Linked DNA regions of Mus musculus. The protein of the gene in region 1 purifies or fractionates together with the protein of each later gene. This does not show direct contact. Links are inferred from orthologs where the notes say so. Each region holds a gene or a part of one and is shown in the gene's direction. Other genes may lie near its edges.

What was found.
Region 2: the proteins of Tcof1 (region 1) and Arrb2 purify together in Homo sapiens (affinity purification with western blotting; 4 studies listed by BioGRID and IntAct, with this or other methods). This does not show direct contact. The link is inferred for Mus musculus from reciprocal best matches to the Homo sapiens genes TCOF1 and ARRB2.
Region 3: the proteins of Tcof1 (region 1) and Nolc1 purify together in Homo sapiens (affinity purification with western blotting; 4 studies listed by BioGRID and IntAct, with this or other methods). This does not show direct contact. The link is inferred for Mus musculus from reciprocal best matches to the Homo sapiens genes TCOF1 and NOLC1.
Region 4: the proteins of Tcof1 (region 1) and Csnk2a2 purify together in Homo sapiens (affinity purification with mass spectrometry; 3 studies listed by BioGRID and IntAct, with this or other methods). This does not show direct contact. The link is inferred for Mus musculus from reciprocal best matches to the Homo sapiens genes TCOF1 and CSNK2A2.
Region 5: the proteins of Tcof1 (region 1) and Arrb1 purify together in Homo sapiens (affinity purification with western blotting; 5 studies listed by BioGRID and IntAct, with this or other methods). This does not show direct contact. The link is inferred for Mus musculus from reciprocal best matches to the Homo sapiens genes TCOF1 and ARRB1.

What each region holds. Positions count from the first base shown.
Region 1 is NC_000084.6:60,824,952-60,828,464, reverse strand, and holds part of Tcof1 (treacle protein), read left to right. Parts: coding exon 1-100; intron 101-1,017; coding exon of another isoform or gene 1,018-1,125; intron 1,126-3,513.
Region 2 is NC_000077.6:70,435,575-70,438,461, forward strand, and holds part of Arrb2 (beta-arrestin-2), read left to right. Parts: intron 1-588; coding exon 589-649; intron 650-756; coding exon 757-801; intron 802-986; coding exon 987-1,183; intron 1,184-1,294; coding exon 1,295-1,354; intron 1,355-1,735; coding exon 1,736-1,803; intron 1,804-1,996; coding exon 1,997-2,135; intron 2,136-2,369; coding exon 2,370-2,454; intron 2,455-2,680; exon of another isoform or gene 2,681-2,744; coding exon 2,745-2,817; intron 2,818-2,887. UniProt on the Homo sapiens protein: Functions in regulating agonist-mediated G-protein coupled receptor (GPCR) signaling by mediating both receptor desensitization and resensitization processes.
Region 3 is NC_000085.6:46,074,595-46,078,658, forward strand, and holds the start of Nolc1 (nucleolar and coiled-body phosphoprotein 1), read left to right. Parts: upstream 1-1,252; 5' UTR 1,253-1,435; coding exon 1,436-1,555; intron 1,556-4,064. UniProt on the Homo sapiens protein: Nucleolar protein that acts as a regulator of RNA polymerase I by connecting RNA polymerase I with enzymes responsible for ribosomal processing and modification.
Region 4 is NC_000074.6:95,486,019-95,490,230, reverse strand, and holds the start of Csnk2a2 (casein kinase II subunit alpha'), read left to right. Parts: upstream 1-1,410; 5' UTR 1,411-1,783; coding exon 1,784-1,887; exon of another isoform or gene 1,888-2,029; intron 2,030-2,070; exon of another isoform or gene 2,071-2,554; coding exon 2,555-2,666; intron 2,667-4,212.
Region 5 is NC_000073.6:99,534,066-99,538,298, forward strand, and holds the start of Arrb1 (beta-arrestin-1), read left to right. Parts: upstream 1-1,420; 5' UTR 1,421-1,713; coding exon 1,714-1,733; intron 1,734-4,233. UniProt on the Homo sapiens protein: Functions in regulating agonist-mediated G-protein coupled receptor (GPCR) signaling by mediating both receptor desensitization and resensitization processes.

The sequences.
Region 1 (3,513 bases):
GACGGGATCTTCAGCTACCCAGGCCCAGCCAGGGAAGACAGAGGACTCAGACAGCAGTAGTGAAGAGTCTGACAGTGACACAGAGATGCCATCAGCCCAGGTGAGCTCTGCCAGGCCCGAGAGCCACCGTCACCAACTCTGCTCATAAACAGATCGTGCCCCAGAGGGGAGAAAGAACAGATAGAAGTCCTAACTCCAGGATCCCTTGCCTCCAGGTCCTCCCCACCATGCCCCTGGATGAAATGAGCTGTAAGTCCCAAACCAAGGCCATCCTAGTATAGGACATCCTAGGTACTCCTACAGCTCCGCAGGGGCCTCTGCAGCACTGGGCACGGCAGTCCCATGCAAGCTGAGTCAGGTTCTGCTGAGGAACCTGGAGCTATCCTGCAAAGACACCCCTGTCAGAGTCACCAGGAAGCTTGGGCTACGGCGCAAGTCTCTGTCTAAGAAGGGCCCGTCTCGCTCAGTGATGCCTAGGCCCAAGGAGTGGAAAAGAAAGAGAAGCTGTCTCATACTCAAACCATTGTCCAGTTCTCAGCCTGGTTGGTTGCAGCGAGCAGTGGGGCTTGCTCTGGCTGACAGTCTCTAGTCTGAGCTCAGGCAGCCTGGTAGAATCGGTACGTGATGGCCTCTGGTGTCGCACCTTAGGGAGGTGGCAGCAAGATCAGAAAGAAAATGGTTGGTCCTTGTCAGTTTCAGCCGACCGTGGCTTTATAGAAACAAAGGGAATGTCACATATAAGTGGAGATTTTGTAGCTTCTCCTGAGAAACCCAGTCCTACTTGCCGATTGAGCACAGGCCACCCGAGCAGGGAGACATAGAGCCCTCCCTGGGCCTCCCTTAAGTTGGCATCACCACCAGCTCTTCTTCACTGATTGACAAGTTCTGTGGCTTTGGACCACCCGGCCCGTGAAGAATGCTCTTAACAGGGCTTAAGAAGTGTCACTCTTCCGCATTTTCCCCTCACTGGGAACCCTCCCGTGTCACGTGCTTACTCAAGTCTTGTCCCCTCCAAAGGATGCTATCTCCCAGCCTGCCAGAGGCAAAGCGTCAGGTCCAGCGTCCCCAGAGAAGAGCATAGAAGGGTCCTCAGAGAGCAGTGATGAGGATCTGCCCTCCGGCCAGGTAGGCTGTAGCTACTCTAAAGGCTGCCCCTGGCTGGGCCAGGCTGCCGCTCTCTGTGAGAGGGTGCAGCTTCCCAACAGGGATAGTCTCACCACATGCAGGTAGCACTTCACAGCTCCTAGCTGTCTTCTGATACACTCCTGGTGTGGTCGGGCCTCAGGCTTCACACCCCTGGCTCCACTCTGCTGCCCAGGAGCCTTTTAGGACTCTGATGTTTTATGTAAACTGGAGTTGGTCATGGTGCCCAGGCACCTGCCTGAGCACTGTTAGGCGGGCACGTTGTCCTGGCGGCCTGTTCGGGGCCAGGGTTGAGGCCCCTTATCTTCTCGTGAAGAAGTTTGAGGAACCCAGAACACTACTGCCCAAGCCTCTCTGGTCCCCATGGACAGTTGGGGCTCTAGATCCTCCCTTGCGACCTTCGTTGGAATCTGTGGGCCCCACCCCAGGTCAGGCCTATGCAATTTATGGCACCTGCTCATTGTCTGCTGGTCCCCACTCCTGCCTGGCCTTGTTCCCAAGGGTGAGGTCCGGGACACCTTCTCTGATTTCAGGAGCCCAACATAGCCACCAAGATGGTACAAGCTCTGTGTGAACCCAGGCCTTTGTAGAGGCAGCACTGCCCTCTTTCTGAGGGAGTAGGGTATTTCCATTTGAAGGAGAGAGGGGCCTGTGACTCTGAGGCAGCTCAGAGAACATTTGAATCCTGGCAGTCTGCACTTTCTCCTGCCCAGCTGTCCCTTTAGCCCCCTTCCAGGCTTGGCTTTTGCCCTCTGGCTCTGCAGTCTTTCTGAGGTACCTCCCTCACTCCTAAAGGACAGACAGCCAGTATGGAAGGTTGCCTTGGTTTTTCTCTGTGTGAGTAGACTTGCACAATTAAAATGAGCATTATGCTAAAATTGAACCTTTAAAGTGGTCTTGCAGATCTGGGGGTCTCTATTTTGAAAAAAAACAAAGCCAATAATTTTCTAGGTTCCCAGAAGGAATTCAGGGAAACGGGCACAGCCCAGGAAGCTGTGGTTTCCCTCTGGGAGAGTGCTAGCCTACGCGGGATTGCTGTCGCTGTTGGGCATTTATGAAGCACTTCTCTATGGAGAGCTGCAGATGGTCCTTCCTAGGGCTCCCCGTCTGGTTGGTTGTTTTTCATTAGCCTGTCCGTGGGAGAAAAGGCCGGGTAGTCCAGCTCTGGGCCAGCTCTGATCCCAGGTTCTGTCCTGCAGCTCTGTGTAATGCCGTGTGGAGTGTAAGCCTCAAGCTGAGGCTGGCTGGAACCCGGGGTGGCTACAAGTTAGAAAGAAGTGGGCATGTGAGGTAATGCAGGCACGAGACGGCATGGCTGATCCATTCTGTTGTAGCCATGTATCGTACTGCGTCACGCACATAGTCATGCGTAACCTCCCACATAAATTATTATTAAATGTATCAGCGTTTGCCTGCATGTATGTATGTATGTGCACCACATGCCTGCCCGGTGCCTGTGGAGACGAGAAGAGGGTGTCAGATCCCTCTGGAACTAGAGGTACAGACAGTTGTGAGGTGCTCTGTGAATGCTAGGAATCAAACCCAGGTCCTCTAACCTCCGAGCCATCTCTCCAGCCCCCTTAAATTGTTTTAAAGGCTACTTCAGCTGCTGTTTTGCCAAAACAAAGGCATAGGCTATGTCCTTATTGAGTGAGAACAGGGGACCTGTTAAAAAAAAATCTAAATTTTAGAATTAAGTCAAGGCTTGCATGGTTAGGTCTGGCTCCCAGAGCGCTTCCTTCCAGTCCTGTATCTTGAAACCAGTTTGCTGGTCGTCCTGGACGAGGTGCTTGTCCACTCTGAGAGCCTCAGCCTCAGCTCCGAGTCAGACTGGGGTTTATAAACCTCAGGTCTCCTAGCTGCATCCCCAGAAAGTGTCGTTTCTAAGTCTCATGGGGAAGGATGAGCCCCCAGGTAATAGTCATCTTCCTCCTCTCTGGGGGGGGCGGGGAGGGGTCCTCAGGGGGTCCCAGTGCTGAGGACACACCCTCCACTGCACTGCACCTCTAGCCCCACAAAGCTGCTTTGAGGGAAGCTCTCGGTGACTGTCCCCTTCGACAGAGCTCCACCTCCCCTCTCTGCCCCAGACTAACTGGAATAAGTAGATAGAAGCCCAGCTAAGACAGCGGGCAGTGGGCACCGCCCAAAAGGGCCCCAAATCTGCTTCTGTAAGCATCATTCCTGCAAATAGGTAGGGTATCCCCCTAATCTGCTCTCAGCACCCCAGGGGGGTGGAGGTGAGATGCTCAGGTGGCTGTGGCGGTAGCGTCCTCTTCCACCGCTTTGCCTCTCTGATCAAAGCACAGCCCACACCCGCTGGGCTTTGTGCTTTCCCCAGGTGACCACACGCAGCACCCACCACAGAATGAG
Region 2 (2,887 bases), on another chromosome or scaffold:
GAGTCCCCCTCGATGCTTACCCTTTGATCCTCCCTGGGCCCGATCAAAGCCCTCGATGATCCCCAAGCCTTTGCTCCCCACTTCCTGTGACAGCTAAAAGCAGACTGACTTCCTTCCCTCCTTAAGCCCCTTGCCGCAGTCTGAAGAAGCCACAGGGCTGGGTGGGGTCTGGGTTCCTAAGCAAGCTTGTAACTCTCTTAGAAACCAACCCAGGGTGCCTGAGCTAGGAATAGTTAATAGTTTCCCAGGCTGTGGGCTGTTTATCTCAGAGCCCTTTGTGGGGACAGCTGCTACCTGCCTGGTCTGGCTGAGTGTTCCCTGAAGACATAGAAACACACATAAACACACACTTATGTGTACCGACCCTCCGTGGGTGGGCAGAGGTGTGGAAAGCAGGTAAAAGCTTAAACGAAAGTTTTACTAAGTTGTCTGGAAAACTCTACCAATCTCACCTTCCAGTCATACTGGGAGACAATCCTTCCTGATAACCCACCCAAGGGGAGCCCAGAACAGGACACCCACCTTTGAGAACTCTGGTGGCTTGCCACCATCCTCCCCAATTTCCCCTGTGACCCTTGACCTCCTCAGCTCACCGTGTACTTGGGCAAGCGCGACTTTGTAGATCACCTGGACAAAGTGGACCCTGTGGGTAAGTTTGCCTAGATGGCACCAACACATCACCCCTGCAAGAGGGGAGGTGATTCCTGGGTCTGGGAGTGGCCCCCTTCAGAAAATGAATCCATCTCTCTTTCCTAGATGGCGTGGTGCTTGTGGATCCTGACTACTTGAAGGACCGGAAAGGTACTACATGTATGCTGGAGGGGAGAAGACAACATTAGATGGGCTGACATTGATAAGAGAGGAAAGGAAGGCAGCATCAGAGGCAGGGAATAGGATTCCGGGAAGTCTGTTATGCCGAAGAAGGATGTGGGTGCCGTGAAGAAAGGGGCTTCTCCTAATCACCCTGACTCACCCTTACTTGTCAGTGTTCGTGACCCTCACCTGTGCCTTCCGCTATGGCCGAGAAGACCTGGATGTACTGGGCCTGTCTTTCCGCAAAGATCTGTTCATCGCCACCTACCAGGCCTTCCCCCCCATGCCCAACCCACCTCGGCCCCCCACCCGCCTACAGGACCGACTGCTGAAGAAGTTGGGCCAACACGCCCACCCCTTCTTTTTCACGGTGAGGATGCTCTCCATTTCCCGCAGGGCTTGGGGTCTGGGGCTCTTTGGGATTGACATGGGATGAGGCACCTGTTACCAGTTGAAACGCCTCCTTTTTCCTCTGCCACAGATACCCCAAAATTTGCCTTGCTCCGTCACACTGCAGCCAGGACCAGAGGACACAGGGAAGGTACGGGAGGGACGACTCTCACAATATGTGAATAGAACCAGGCTCAGCTAGATACACAAAGCACAGCTGAGCTGGAGGGTGAAGTGTAGGGGGCTCCTGAGGACAGGGTGGTATCCCCAGGGAGGTGTGTGGTCACTGAATCTGTTCTCTGACCTGCATGTACCTGGCTGGGTATGGGGTCTCCTCTGTGCACTGCCATGAGCCAGCCTCTGCCAGATGCCAGGCTAGAGAGAGAGACAGTGGGGCAAGAGAGTTCCTCTGTTTCCATGATGAGGCAAAAAATCCACACCAACAGGAATGAAGCAAGGAGGAAGGAGGGGGTGTGTTGGATGTGGTACCGGGAGCCTTGGGTAAGAGGTGGCCTTTCCTCCTCTTCCCAAGGCTTGTGGAGTAGACTTTGAGATTCGAGCTTTCTGTGCCAAATCAATAGAAGAAAAAAGTCACAAGAGGTAAGAGAAACAGCTCTCTCACTCACTCTCTCTCTCTTTCTGTCTCTCTCTCTCTCTCTCTCTCTCTCTCTCTCTGGTTTAACGGCTCCCACCCAGCCTCACAGCGCCCCAGACCCCAGTGGGAGGTAGGAATCTGAATTGGCTTGTGGTATCTTGAATCTAAGTCTTTCCCCTCCTCCAACCCCTGACTCAGGAACTCTGTGCGGCTTATCATCAGAAAGGTACAGTTTGCTCCTGAGACACCCGGTCCCCAGCCCTCAGCTGAAACCACACGCCACTTCCTCATGTCTGACCGGAGGTCCCTCCACCTAGAGGCTTCCCTGGACAAAGAGGTGAGGTGTGAGAGGGTGACAAAGATGTCACAAAGCAGGCCAGACTCCTGGGAGGAGGGGTGAAGCCACAGGCAAGATGGTGATTTGGGAGGCTTTTTGTTGTTTTTTTTTTTCTTAAGGCTATTGCCTTACTTGGGTAGAGGTACTGTGGGTAGGAGTTGGGGGTGGAGCAGGCCAGTGGGGTCAGTAAAAAAAAAAACAGGTACAAGCGATGCAATCTCTTCTCTTCAAAAGCTGTACTACCACGGGGAGCCCCTTAATGTCAACGTCCATGTCACCAACAATTCTGCCAAGACCGTCAAGAAGATCAGAGTGTCTGGTAGGAGGTGGGGGTGGGCATGGGGATAGGGAAGGAAGTCCCTACTTAGAAAGGCTGCTGCTGCCATGTCAGCCCAGGCCGTGTCGCAGTGTGGGAAACCTACCGGGCCATAAAGAATTGAGTCTGTTCCAGAAGAGATACATGGCCCTAGTGTTTACTATAGTAGGTCTGTTGGCCAGGGGTGGAAGGTGGAGGTGTGCTGCCCCCATGGGGTTTCCACCATGTGGTCGGGGGTTGTGGTGCCGAATTGTCTGTGTCACCCAAAGCCACTTGGTCCCCTGCCCCCACAGTGAGACAGTACGCCGACATTTGCCTCTTCAGCACCGCGCAGTACAAGTGTCCCGTGGCTCAGCTAGAACAAGAGTGAGTAAGGGTTAGAGGTGGGACCCAAGCGCCGGTCTTCAGAACCCATCTCACTTCTAAGGGTGTCTCT
Region 3 (4,064 bases), on another chromosome or scaffold:
TCTACAAAGTGAGCTCCAGGACAGCCAGGGCTACAGAGAAATCCTGTCTCGGAAAAACAAAACAAAACAACAACAAAAAAATCATTTGCCACCATACCTATGAGAATAAAAGTTTTCTCAACTGGGGTTAGTGTCTATTAAGTGTCATTAAAGCTCACCAGTTTGGTTTTGATCACCATCTTGGTTTGTGAATTTTTTTTTTTTTTCTTTTTTTCCGAGACAGGGTTTCTCCGTGTAGCCCTGGCTGTCCTGGAAGTCACTTTGTAGACCAGGCTGGCCTCGAACTCAGAAATCCGCCTGCCTCTGCCTCCCGAGTGCTGCGATTAAAGGTGTACGCCACCACCGCCCGGTGGTGTGTGTATTTTAAAAAAAACGATTTTGAGGCCGGGCGTGGTGGCGCAAGCCTTTAATCCCAGCACTCGGGAGGCAGACGGATTTCTAAGTTCGAGGCCAGCCTGGTCTACAAAGTTAGTTCCAGGACAGCCAGGGCTATACGGAGAAACCTTTCTGTCTTGGAAAAAAAAAAAACAAGCCAAAACAAACAAACAAACGATTGTGTATGCATAGAAGCACCTCTGGGAAATAGGATAACGGGTCCTTTTAGAAGGAGCGCCTGTTTTGAGGAAAGTAAAAGAAAGGTATTCACCGGAAGTGCATCTTTATTGCTTCCTGACCTGGACAGTAGCTGATACTGAAGTTTTCCGAATTCACTGTGACTTCTTTCTTTAGGAAGAAAGGATTTTTCTTGATCTTTTCCCTGGGATGGTCCCGTGTTCCTGTTCTCCGAATTGTAGATGGGAAGGATAACTGTCTTGTAACCTAGCTATGACTGACAGACAATGTGGGGTACCAACACCTTGTCACCACAACTTTTAGGATCCTCTGATTTGAGTCTGGGTCTGGGTGGTATCCTGAAGGACTTCACTGGGTGTGAAGGGAGGGAGGAAGCCATTGTCCGTGGGAGTTTGAGCAGTAGGTGACACCTCTAGAAGGGTTGAAAGAGCCTCGAGTTCTCCAGTGCACCCATTATTGTTAGTCCATTCAGTACTGTGAGGTCTCAGTAGCAGCCAGGGCTTGGAAATCTACAGTAGGAAGAAGCCCATTCAGCAAAGGTAATGCGCGGGAATTTGCAAGTTTTCCCGCCTCGGACAGGAGCGTGGCATCTGACGTAGAAGCTCCGCCTCCTTAGTGGGCGGCTCGTGGGCTCCGCCCCCTGCAGGATGATGACGCGTGTGGGACCGGAAGCAACTTCTAGATTTAGTCTGGGTCTCTCCTCCCGGGTGGAGGGTACGCGACCTCGTGTGCGCCACTCTTTTCCGCTGCGCGCCGCGCGCGACTTGATGACGACACTGGACCCGCCCTCGACCCGGGCTGTGCTTTGGTGTTCTTAAGTCGTGCCGCGTGCGCAACGGTAGTGACGCGTTTTACCCGGAGCATGGCGGATACCGGCTTGCGCCGCGTGGTTCCCAGCGACCTTTATCCCCTTGTGCTCAGATTTCTGCGGGATAGCCAACTCTCGGAGGTGGCCAGTAAATTTGCAAAAGCGACCGGCGCTGTGAGTCCTTGGTTTGGTCTGCGGGCCGGGGTGGGACGACTCTCCGAGCTAATCTAGGCCTTGTCGGCTTTAGAAGTTAAGGAGGCGAGGGCTGGGGTCTGTCAGTCCGTTGTCTGCCCAGCTTCTCTGCGGACCTTCCTCAGGCTGGAGGTCTCGGTGTCTCCTTCCACCATGTCTGACTAGCTAGCTCCGAGTATTACGGCTTTTACTTGGTGTGAGTTTTTGCAGCGGTGACAGGCATGGGTCCCTCGTGACCCAGGACATGTGGCGCTAGATCCCTCCGGGAGCATTGGGTTGGCGGTGCGTGGTTCTTCTGTACTTTTTGTTGGACTTACCCTTAATTGCAGTTTTACCTGAGACTCAAAGATTTTAGTAATGAAGGCTTGGATTCTATTTATACACTTGTTTGTTTTTACAAAAGAAGATGAGTGAGTGCAGGGATAAATTGCGAAGTAATGATAGCTAGGACTTCATATTGTATTTACTTATTTTTTTAAAAAGAAAAAAATGAATGAGTGTGGTGATAGGTTGCTTTCAGTATACTCTAGGAGTAGTGAGCGTCCGCCTGTGTTAAGTTGGCACTGAGCTTGGAGCTCCAGGTAGTGATGTTAGGCCAGGCTCTGCGGCTTTCTGCATGTATGATCCCAGCAGCCTTTTGTTTGAGACAAAGTTCATGTAGTCCTTGTGTAGTGGAGGATGGATATGAACTTCTGTACCTCTTGTCACAGCCTCTTCATGCTAAGTGCCTTACTGCCCTGCAGCACACTTTGTATACCATACTGGCCTTGAACTCAGCTCAGTCTCTGTCTACCAAGTGCTGGGATTAAAGGTGTATATCACCATGCTCAGCCCAATTTACAGCTTTTGAGTGAATGAGACTCACTGAGAGAAAAATGCACAAAGTAGTAACTCCATTGTAGGCACACAGGAACATGGGGTGAGTGACAGCTGTTATGTAAGAGCAAAATGTTTACTCTGCACCTTAAGAAAAGCTGTAGCGGGCTGGAGAGACGGCTCAGCAGTTACGACCACTGACTGCTCTTTTAGAGGTCCCGAGTTCAATTCTCAGCAACCAACCACATGGTGGCTCACAACCATCTGTAATGGGATCAGATGCCCATTCTTCTAGTGTGTCTGAAGACAGCAAAGATGAACTCACATAAATAAGGGGGAAAAAAAATGAAAGAAAAGCTGTAGTGTTCGTGGAAACACCTTGAAAGGCTGTAGGCCTTAGATCCTGGGACTCTTGGGTTATAGGCCACCAGATCTTTTGAGATAGGTTACTTCTTTGTAGCAAAATACAAAAAGGTGATTTTTGCCACAAAAGGAAAGATCAGGTCAGTCTCATAATAAGGGAGTTCTTTCAGCCGGGACAGCCTGACATGTGATCTGGTAATACATCCCCCAACCCCCCCCCCCAACTCCATGTGCTCTGAATTGATGGACCATCTAGCCAGTGCTCATTATTACTCTCCTCTTCTTCCCTCCCTCCTATTTTACTTTATTTTTTTGGTTTTTCGAGACAGGGTTTCTCTGTGTAGCCCTGGCTGTCCTGGAACTCAGTAGACCAGTCTGGCCTTGAACTCAGAAATCCGCCTGCCTCTGCCTCTGCCTTCCAAGTGCTGGGATTAAAGGTGTGTGTCACCACTGCTCGGCACCCTCCCTCCCTCCTTAAGGCAGGGTCTCTATGTTCTGGCTGTCCTTGAACTCACTATGTAGACCAAGCTGGCTTAAACTCCGATCTGCTTGCCTCTCCTTTCCATGTGCTAGAGTTAAAGGCGCGTGCCACCGTACCTCGCACCTTTCTGTTTGCTTACAGTTTATTCTGCACATTTGTGTTTTGCCTGCATGTCTGTCTGTGTGAGAGCTGCCATGTGAGTACTGGGAGTTGAACCTGGGTCTTCTGAAGGAGCAGACAGTGCTCTTAACCACTGAGCCACCTATCTAGCCCTGCCTTTCTGCCTTTAAAAGTCATTTAATTAGAAAAAAAAAAGTTAATAGTTAGAAATTATGAGGCCAGAGATGTCAGAAGCTCTGTATGTGGAGTTAACAGGTACTGTTGCGTCTCCTGTTCTGGGTGCTGGTAATGAACTCAGGTCCTCTGGGAGAGTAACATGCTCTCTCAGCGACTTAGCCATCTCTCCAGCCCTCAGCTAACGCTCTGTTATCAATTGGTACAACATTTCTAAGACTTTAAAAGATATGGAAAGGCACAGGGATATACCATAAAGTTTTCACGCTCAAAGTTAGGTGATATGTAAGCGTAATATTTTCCTCCTGAGTTATACAAGTAGGAAAAGTCTTAAGATGTAACATCCATTTTGAGTTAAGTAGGGAGATAGCATAACTTTTGAGACAAGGTCTCTTTACATAACCCTGGCTGTCTGGAACTCTGTATGTAGTCCAGGTGGGCCTTGAACTCACTGATCTGCCAGCCTCTTTCTTTGAAGTGCTGGGACCATGCCTGGCTGACAGATTACATTTGATCAAGGAGTAACAGAATCTGACC
Region 4 (4,212 bases), on another chromosome or scaffold:
AGCTGGTCCATGCATAATATGACCTTCAGGGTCCCCTTTGTAACCAGCATGGTAACCGTGGGCCAAGAGCACTGTGTTGACTGAAGGCCTCCTGCCCGGCAGACACTGAGTGACCTGGTGGTGATCACCCAGCCCTAGTCATGCCTTCACATTGTTTTCACAGGGAGGGGACAGATGGCAAACCAGGAGAGGACTCATGCCAAGCTGTAGTTTTACGAAGGGCATGGAGGAGTCGCTGAGAGAAGTATCAACTTCAGAGAAAGTGGCCTCTAAGGTGAGATTTGAAAAAGAAAGCCAGTCATTTGTGGGGTGGCAGCGGTACCCCGTGGCCAAGCTCAGAGAGAAGAAGAAACTGAAAGACGGGCATGCGCTATTCTCAGGGAAGGAAAGGTGTAGAGTTTAACAACAGCGGGAACATGTAGTGTTTTAATATGGAGCAGTCCTTAGTCTCTGTACAGCTCTGTGAAGTCGGTGCTGGGTTGATGCTACAAAATCTGTAGCACGGAGACGTTGAGTCATTGGTTCAAATCTGCATTCCTTGCAAACTATGGAACCGGGACTTGAACCTCGATAGTTCGGTATGTGAAGAAAGAGGAAACGTGGCCTCATCTAGAAAACAGTGTGTGGGGGGGAGGGAGAGGGGGAGTTTAGAGTCAGAGCAACCTGGGCTGGAAGAAGAGATCCTTGTTGTTAAAGAATATGAACAGGAAAACAAGATAGCCGGGGACCCCAGGACATCAATGAGAGAGAAGACTGTTCAAGAAGTCCTCACTCCCCAGCTCTCCCTCCTCCCAAACAAACAAACAAACAAAATGGATATTTACATTCTCAAAGTATGATCCACAAATTACAGGTTCAATACAAAGGGGGAAAAACCCAGTTAACTTTATGGGGAAACTATCTGGTGGGCTCTGGTTTAAGCAAGTGGCCCAAAGGATGGCTCAGTGGGCTCTCAGGGAGGAATCTGGATGGGGAATTGGGAGGCGAGGGTAGCTTTAGGACTAGTTTGGTTTTCCTCTTGAAGGAAGGGATCTGTGGATGGCAGGGTGGGGTCCAGAGTGGGAAGAGGAGTGAGGAAGGGGGACAGTTTGAGGGGAGGGTTCTTGGGTTTCAAAGAAAGTCAGCTCAGGGCCAATATGGGAGGTCGTGGTGGGTGGACACGAGGTGACTGGACAGTGGAACTATGCTAAGCGCGGCGGCAGTCAAAGGTAGAGACTTCTGGGGGGTGGCCTGCAGTTGGGCAGGCAGCCGGCCACATTGCTTGGAGGGTGGCGAGCTCGCTGAGGGGGCGGGCGCCGGCCATAGTCCCCCCGCACTGTAGGGGGCGCTGTGGGCCGGGGCGGGCCGGGGCTGGGCGGCGGCCGCTCCTGGCGAGTGCGGCCCCTTTTCCGGGTTTCCTCCGCCTCCTCCTCCTCCCTCTTCGCCGCCGCCGCCGCTGCCGCTGCCCCTCTCCCGACCGGTGGCTGCCGCTGCCGCCACCACCGCCTCTGGGGGGCCGCGAGCCGAGCGGAGGCCTCCGCGGAGCACGAACCCCGCCGTCCCTCCGGCAGCCGAAGGCCCCGGGCCGGCTCGGCCGGCGCCTTCCGCGCCCCCCGGCCCGAGCGTCCGTCCGTCCGCCCGCCCCCGCGGGCCCGGCCTGGCGCGGACGCCCGCCGCCGCCGCCGCGCTCCTCCTCTTGCTTGGGCAGCCCGCGGCCCGCCGCTTCCCGTGCCTGCCGCCCCGCGCCCCGCGCCGCGCCGCCGCCGCCCTCGGCGCCCCGCGGCGCCCCCCGGTCCCGCCCGCCATGCCCGGCCCGGCCGCGGGCAGTCGGGCCCGGGTCTACGCCGAGGTGAACAGCCTGAGGAGCCGCGAGTACTGGGACTACGAAGCCCACGTCCCGAGCTGGGGGTAAAGCCGCCGCCGGCCGCCCCACGCGCGAACCGCACCCGCCGGCCGCTCGGCCTCGGGGCTGGCAGGGAGGCCCGGCCCCGGCCGCACGTGTCCCCGGCCTCTCCTGTCCGCCCTGCCTCGGTCCCCGGCTCAGCCGCCGGTGGGGAGAAGCGTGGGGTCGGGGGTGGGGGCGGCCCTTCCTCCTCAGACTTTGGGCTTCCTATGGGTTGGGAAGTCCATGGCTGTCCTCTTGAGCTGTTGAAATCTCTACCTCTTTACTTTCTGAAATGAGGCTGGGTGGGAGGGTCATTTTGAAGAGGGGCAGATTGTCTAGAGCGGGCAGTGCCCCCTGGAAGGTGTGAAATGGGAGGCAGGTGCCGTGGAGCCACGGGCAGGGCACCCCAGTACCACCAGGGGGGATGCTTCCCTTAGTCCCCTTAATGGCTCCTGAGGCCTTGTAGCTGCCCATTCCTCTTCTTGTTAAGAGTCAGTTAGGTTAGGAGCTCTGCAGAGTGAAGGGAGCCAAGCTTCTGTGTGGCTCTCATTTAAGAGAATGAGTTGCTGTGTGATGGTAGGAATACTTCCGAATGCTTGATTAGTTGGAGATGGCGGATGGATGTGTGGTGGACAGAGGCTTGCTTAATCCCAAATCCTGGCATTTATGTATATCTCTTGCCTTTCACAGTAATCAAGATGATTACCAACTGGTTCGAAAACTTGGTCGGGGCAAGTATAGTGAAGTATTTGAGGCCATTAACATCACCAACAATGAGAGGGTGGTTGTAAAAATTCTCAAGGTGAGTGGCCAACGGTGGCATGTAACCTTTCCCCCCACAGGGCAAAAGAACCAGCTATCCCAGAATAAGCATCTCCTACAGGACTCCTACCATGCTTTTCCTTGTGAACTTTTGAGAAAATGTGCGGGCTGGTCTTAATTCTGAGTTTGGTAGGTCAGGAACATTTAAAGTGTGAATTCTGAACTTCTCAAACAAAGCTTGTGAGGGGGGACTGTATCTGATATGGAATAAAGAGGTATTCGCAAGAGAGGAAGGAGTTTGCATGGAGAATCTGTCAACTGTAGGGATTCTAAATCTGTACTCGTTACTCTCTGCTCCCAGTTACTCCAGAAAAAGTCCGGAAAACCCAAAACAAAACAAAACTGGAGTCTGCTCAGAGATAAGTTTAAAGCCAAAAATTCAGGACAATTCCCTCAGTTGATATTTTCATTTCATGTAGCAGTAAAGTTTCAGGTGGGCTGGATATAGCAAGCCAGCCGCTAAGAGATCTGGGGCAACAGAAGAGTACATTCTAGCCCCTGAAATAATAACTGGAACAAAACTTGTCTCTGTGGCAAGACTAGCCCTCTCGCTTTGATAATGATAGGGCTTTTGTTATCACTCAAATGAAGACATGATCTTAATGAGCATGAAGAGTCAGCCAAGTTTCTGTACAGGTGATTGAAGATTCAATAGTGCTTTGTAGGTTGTTCGAGAGGGTGGTTCGTAGGACCTGAGCGGTTCTTCATGGTTGTCAAGTCATTTAAATGCATATGCTTGTCACCTTAGGATCTGGGCAGTTTTTCATGTTGTCAGATCACTTAACATGTATGTGTGTCACTAGTGAAAGAGCACTGGAGAGTGGTAGTGTTTCACCAGATTTTCACAGTGCCCAGTGAACAAAAATGCAGGATTGAAAAGCTTGTGCCTTAGGGCAGTTCTTATTTAATTGTGTAGATTTTAGCGTTGTGTGAATCACCTTTCAAAAAAAATGGCTGCTGCTAATGCTCCTTACCATCCTGGCCTAGTGATGAAGGAGCAGAGTTGCTGCAGAGATGGGTGATGCTATTGCTGCTGCCCAAGACACTGGGGTGAGAAGGAAGGAATGATGGCAGATAGGGAGCTTGGCCCCGCTAAGTATGAGTTGTACATTGGAGGTCTGTAGTTATGGGAGGGGTGTGTTTTAAGCAGAGAAATGTTTCCTTCAGGGAACTTGCTGGAGGAAACCATGCAATTTCATTACTTACATAAACCTGTTTTGAATAGAAGTTACTTCAGACATTTTCATTTTAAGGATAAGCAAAAACAAGCATAGTTGGGAATATCCATGTTCTGTTGCTGCACATTTGGAGGATTGAATTTGCCAAGTCTAAAGCAATTTCAGGGAAATGTCTAAATGTCTGTGCAGTAGCATTTTGGGACTAAGTGCTGTTTGCTGTGGAGTGTTTGGAAGGGAACAGTGCTCAGGTGTGTGTAAGCCCCAGTGTGTTTAAGGAAACATAGGGTTAGTAGTTTCCCATGGTTCTTGTGAGGAACTTCAGAGATGAGTTGCTTGATAGTTTTTCCT
Region 5 (4,233 bases), on another chromosome or scaffold:
CCAGGCCTCTTGATTTTGAGCTCACAAAGTTTGCTTCCTGCTATCAATAGAGAACCCTACTCTGCTCCTTTCAAGAGCCCCCCACAACGGCCTGCAGAAGGGTCAGGTGGCTTCCTGCTCTGCCCTGGTTGGAGGAAGGGAAGATCCCAGAGGCTAAGAAAGGGCAGGTGAAGTTACAGACCTTAATCCACTTCCTCTTAGCTCTTACCATTGCCCAGATGTGGACCACCCTGCCTGTCCATTAGCCTCTACCCACCCCTCCCCAATCTGGACATAATTATAGTCATTATCCTGGGATATTATTACCAATTCTATAAACAGCACACTCTATGTAAACAGCATAGGTAACTGCTTCTGAACATAATTACAGGAGATGTTTCCAGACCCCGCAATTGCATCAGAGTAAATGATAGCTTCCTTTCCTATCGTTAATACTCCGATATTAGGGACCTATCAGTGCCAATTAGTCAAACTCCAGCAGTGAGGGGCTGAGGACCTTACATTCCTCCCACTGCCTCAAGATCCCTTCTAGGAGAAAATGGATTCAAACCCTTTCCTACCCCTTCTTAGCCTCTGAACTCTACCCTCCCACTGCACACCGGCTACTTCTCCAGGGGTAGGAAACGTAAGGAAAGTCAAGGTTTCCAAGGATACCAAGAAAGCTGCAGACAGTAGACTCTGCTGGACACCGCTGTGTGCAGGTGTCTGCCCGCAAGAACAAGCAGATTCCTTCAACAATTGAACAGGACATCTGCTGGTCTTAGGACCCAGCCAATAGACCTGAAATGGGCTGAGTGGTGTCCAGAGTCATTACAGGCACCTAAGCTAGGCCTGGGTGCTATATCAATGATGCTAGATGCTACAGGCCACCAGCTAGTTGGCTCTCGGTCCCTTCTTTATCTCCTGTTCTCACTGCTTCCTCTTTCTGCCTGCCCCTCCCCTTTCCACTCTCATCTGCTCTCCAGCATTGCAGTCCGCTGCCCGCCCCCACCCCTTCTTCCTGTCCCTGTTGTGTCGTTGGGTGGTATCTCTCCAGAAGGGCGGGGGTGGGGAGGGTGGAGCAAAGGGCGAAGGCCTGGCTAGGCTTTTGGAATCTTTCGCTGTCCTCACACAGGGGCGCCTCTGAGGCTGGGCCTTGAAGTCTGCGGATTTTCCGCTTGCTTCTATCCGCAGACACAAAGGCCAGTCCTGGCGTGCGCGGGAGAGAGCGCTCGCACCCACGACTGTGAGCACACATACACAACTGCACAAAGACGTGCTACCTCTACACACACACACACACACACACACACACACACACACTCTCTCTCTCTCTCTCTCTCTCTCTCTCTCTCTCTCCACACCCCACCTCCCGACAGGCTCGCGCGCACAGCCGTGCACACGCACCAGCACTGGCACGCGCTTGCGTGCACGCGCTCCCGTGGACCAGCCGCGGCCGGCCACGCAGCCCTCACTCTCTGGGCGCGCACACGCAGAGCCGCGCACGGAGGCATACACGCGCGCTCACACCCGCACGCTCCACGCCCCTGGCGGCGGCCTGGGCGCTGTGCTGCTCGAGCGACGGGCGGGGACCCGGGCGGGGGCGGCGGCGGCGACAGCGGAGGAGGCGGAGCGGGGTAGCCGGGAGCGGGCTGGCCCGCGCTTCTCCTGGCGGCCGGGGATTTTCCAGCCTGGACGCTGACGCCGCGGACCTCCCTGCGGCCGCCGCGGACCATGGGCGACAAAGGGACACGGTGAGTGCGGGTGGCCGCCCTGTCCCACGCGCGCGTGGGGACGACCTGGGCGAGGGCACGGGCGGAGGTTCCAGTCAGCGTCACCCGGGATCTGGCACTCTGTTGTCCTCCCAAGTCTCTTGTGTGGTTCTCTGGCCAGAACCATGTGTACCGAGGCACCCAGGGTGGGCCACCCCATTGGGTTCACGGCTCCTGGCCGAGACGAGCTCACACACCCAGCCCTGGTCGATAGACTTCAGGACGCTCTGGGGCAGGCTGACACACAACACACAAGCTCATAAACACATGAGCACCCTTCTGCAGGCACACACTGACAGTCGTTGCCACACTTCGCATTTGTGACACGACGACGTCACATACGGTCTCTCACGCACACACCAGTCTGTCAACACATTCTTGCTGTCAGTCCTGTTAGCATACACAGGTCCCACTCGAACACGCACCAGCTCTAACAACACCCTCGTGTTGCTACACACATGCGGGCATACACCGACATACGTAGCCTGGCACTTGGGTGCTGCAAAGCACGGTCTAAGCTAGTACGTGCAGTCTGTCAACCCTCTCTGACGTGACACGATGTGGCCACAGGTCTTAGTGACACATCAAGGCTAACCACACACATGCAAGGCATAAAATGCCTGCAGGGACTGACATCCTCAGAGCAGTGGATACACTCACTTCTGACTCCTCATAGCAGGGCCGGGAACACAGGTCACAGAGTGGAAGGCTCTGAGACCTGGAAGGCAGGTCCCCATTCACATGGCTTTCTTCCCCTCTGTCCTCCAAAGCACATAGCTAGGGGCTCCATGTAGCTGAGGGAGGGTGACGGGAACTGTTTTGTAGAGCTTGCCTTGAGAGGAAAGGTTAGGCCCTCGAAATGGAAACTAGGTCAAAGTAGGAGGGCTAGGGAGGGGCAGGGAAGCTCGTGGGGTCAACCCTTATGACCAGACTGGTTCACCTTCCTGGCCCTTGAGAGTCTCCTTGCCATCTTCTCTGGCCCCTCCTCTAGCCTCCCTGCACCTGCCGTTTACCATTGCTTTCCTTATTACTCTTCTGTTTGTGTCCTTCCCTCTGCCTTTACCTCCTTTCTTCTGATATTAATTTATTTATTAAGCCCCTGTTGTATACTAGGCATAGCCTAGGGCATAAGAGATGATCAGAAAGGAAGCATCCCTGCAGTCACATGTTGGGACCCTTAAACAAAATGACTCATTGCCCACTGACAGCTGAGCCTCAGCAGTGAGTGAAAGCAGCTACAGAGGTTATTCCCATTTCCCAGGAGCAGAAACTGAGGCATAGTGGTAGCTCAGATACCTCATGTTTAGAAACTGCCTCCCACCAGCCTTCCTACTGATGGCCCTTCCTGGAGGTTAATTTTCCTATTCTTGTTTCCCAAAGAGGAACCAAAGGGTGAGAAAGGTCACTTGCCTTGCTGAAGGTCAGGAGGGGGCAGAGGCCAGGGTCCACTGTGTCTGTGGCTCTCCTTGGAGCTGCACTGTGTGCACCCTGGGTGTAAGGACTAGCAAGGGACCCACTTGGTGCAGAGACACAGTTTTGGGAGACTGCAGAGAGCTATGAGGTGTTTGCATTAACCTTGAGGGCCACCGTAACTGGTTGGTCAACACTGTGACCTAGGCCTCAGTCATTGGAGGAAGGATGCTAGGATGCGGCTCTCTTCAGCCACACCTGTCCCCCTCCCCACTTAGAGACCCTCTGGCGCTGCAAGGTCGAGCTTTGCTCCCTGCAGAGCACAGCAGGGAGTCAGCAGCCACTGGATTCTTCTTTGTTCTCCAGTGCTGCTGGTGACCGGGGTGACTCAGCCTTGCTGGGCCTCTCTGTAACTAGGGGAGAAGTGTCACAGCTCCCTGATACCTTGAATTGTCATAGGATGAGGACCTTGTGAGCCTCCAGACACCTGTTGGAGAGTCTGTCTGAGGCCAGAGCTTTGTCCTTGACTCCCCCTGCTGTGCTCCTAACTCAAGGGCAGACCCAGTGTTCCCACCTGTACACTGAAGCAATCAGAACTTTGGGTTTCAATGCTCCCCAAAGCTTACTGAGTTCACTGGACATAGGAGTAGGTAGGAGCTGCCTATGCCAGGAAATACAGACTAGCTACATAACCCCCACCTGTCCATCTTTGCCTCCCCTCCCTGGGCTCCATGAATTCTGCCTTTCTCTTTCTAGATCTATCTGGATATGAAAGGTAAGCTCGAGAAGAGAGTTTCTTCATTGTGTTCCATTAGCCATAAGATTTTTGCTTTGTGAATTGGAAGGGACATTGCAAATACTGACTAAAATACTCTTAGGCTCTGGAGTCATCACCTGTATCCCTGTCGGTTGGAGGAAGTGGTAATAAACATTAATCAAAACTGTCACTGCAGTTCACTTGCAGAAACACCTGGGTTGAGAGGAGTCCCAGGGTGGAGTAGGCGAGCACCAAGGTGGAACCCTAACAGGGATCCCACAGGGAGCATAGGCCATTGGAGAGTGGCTTCTCTGT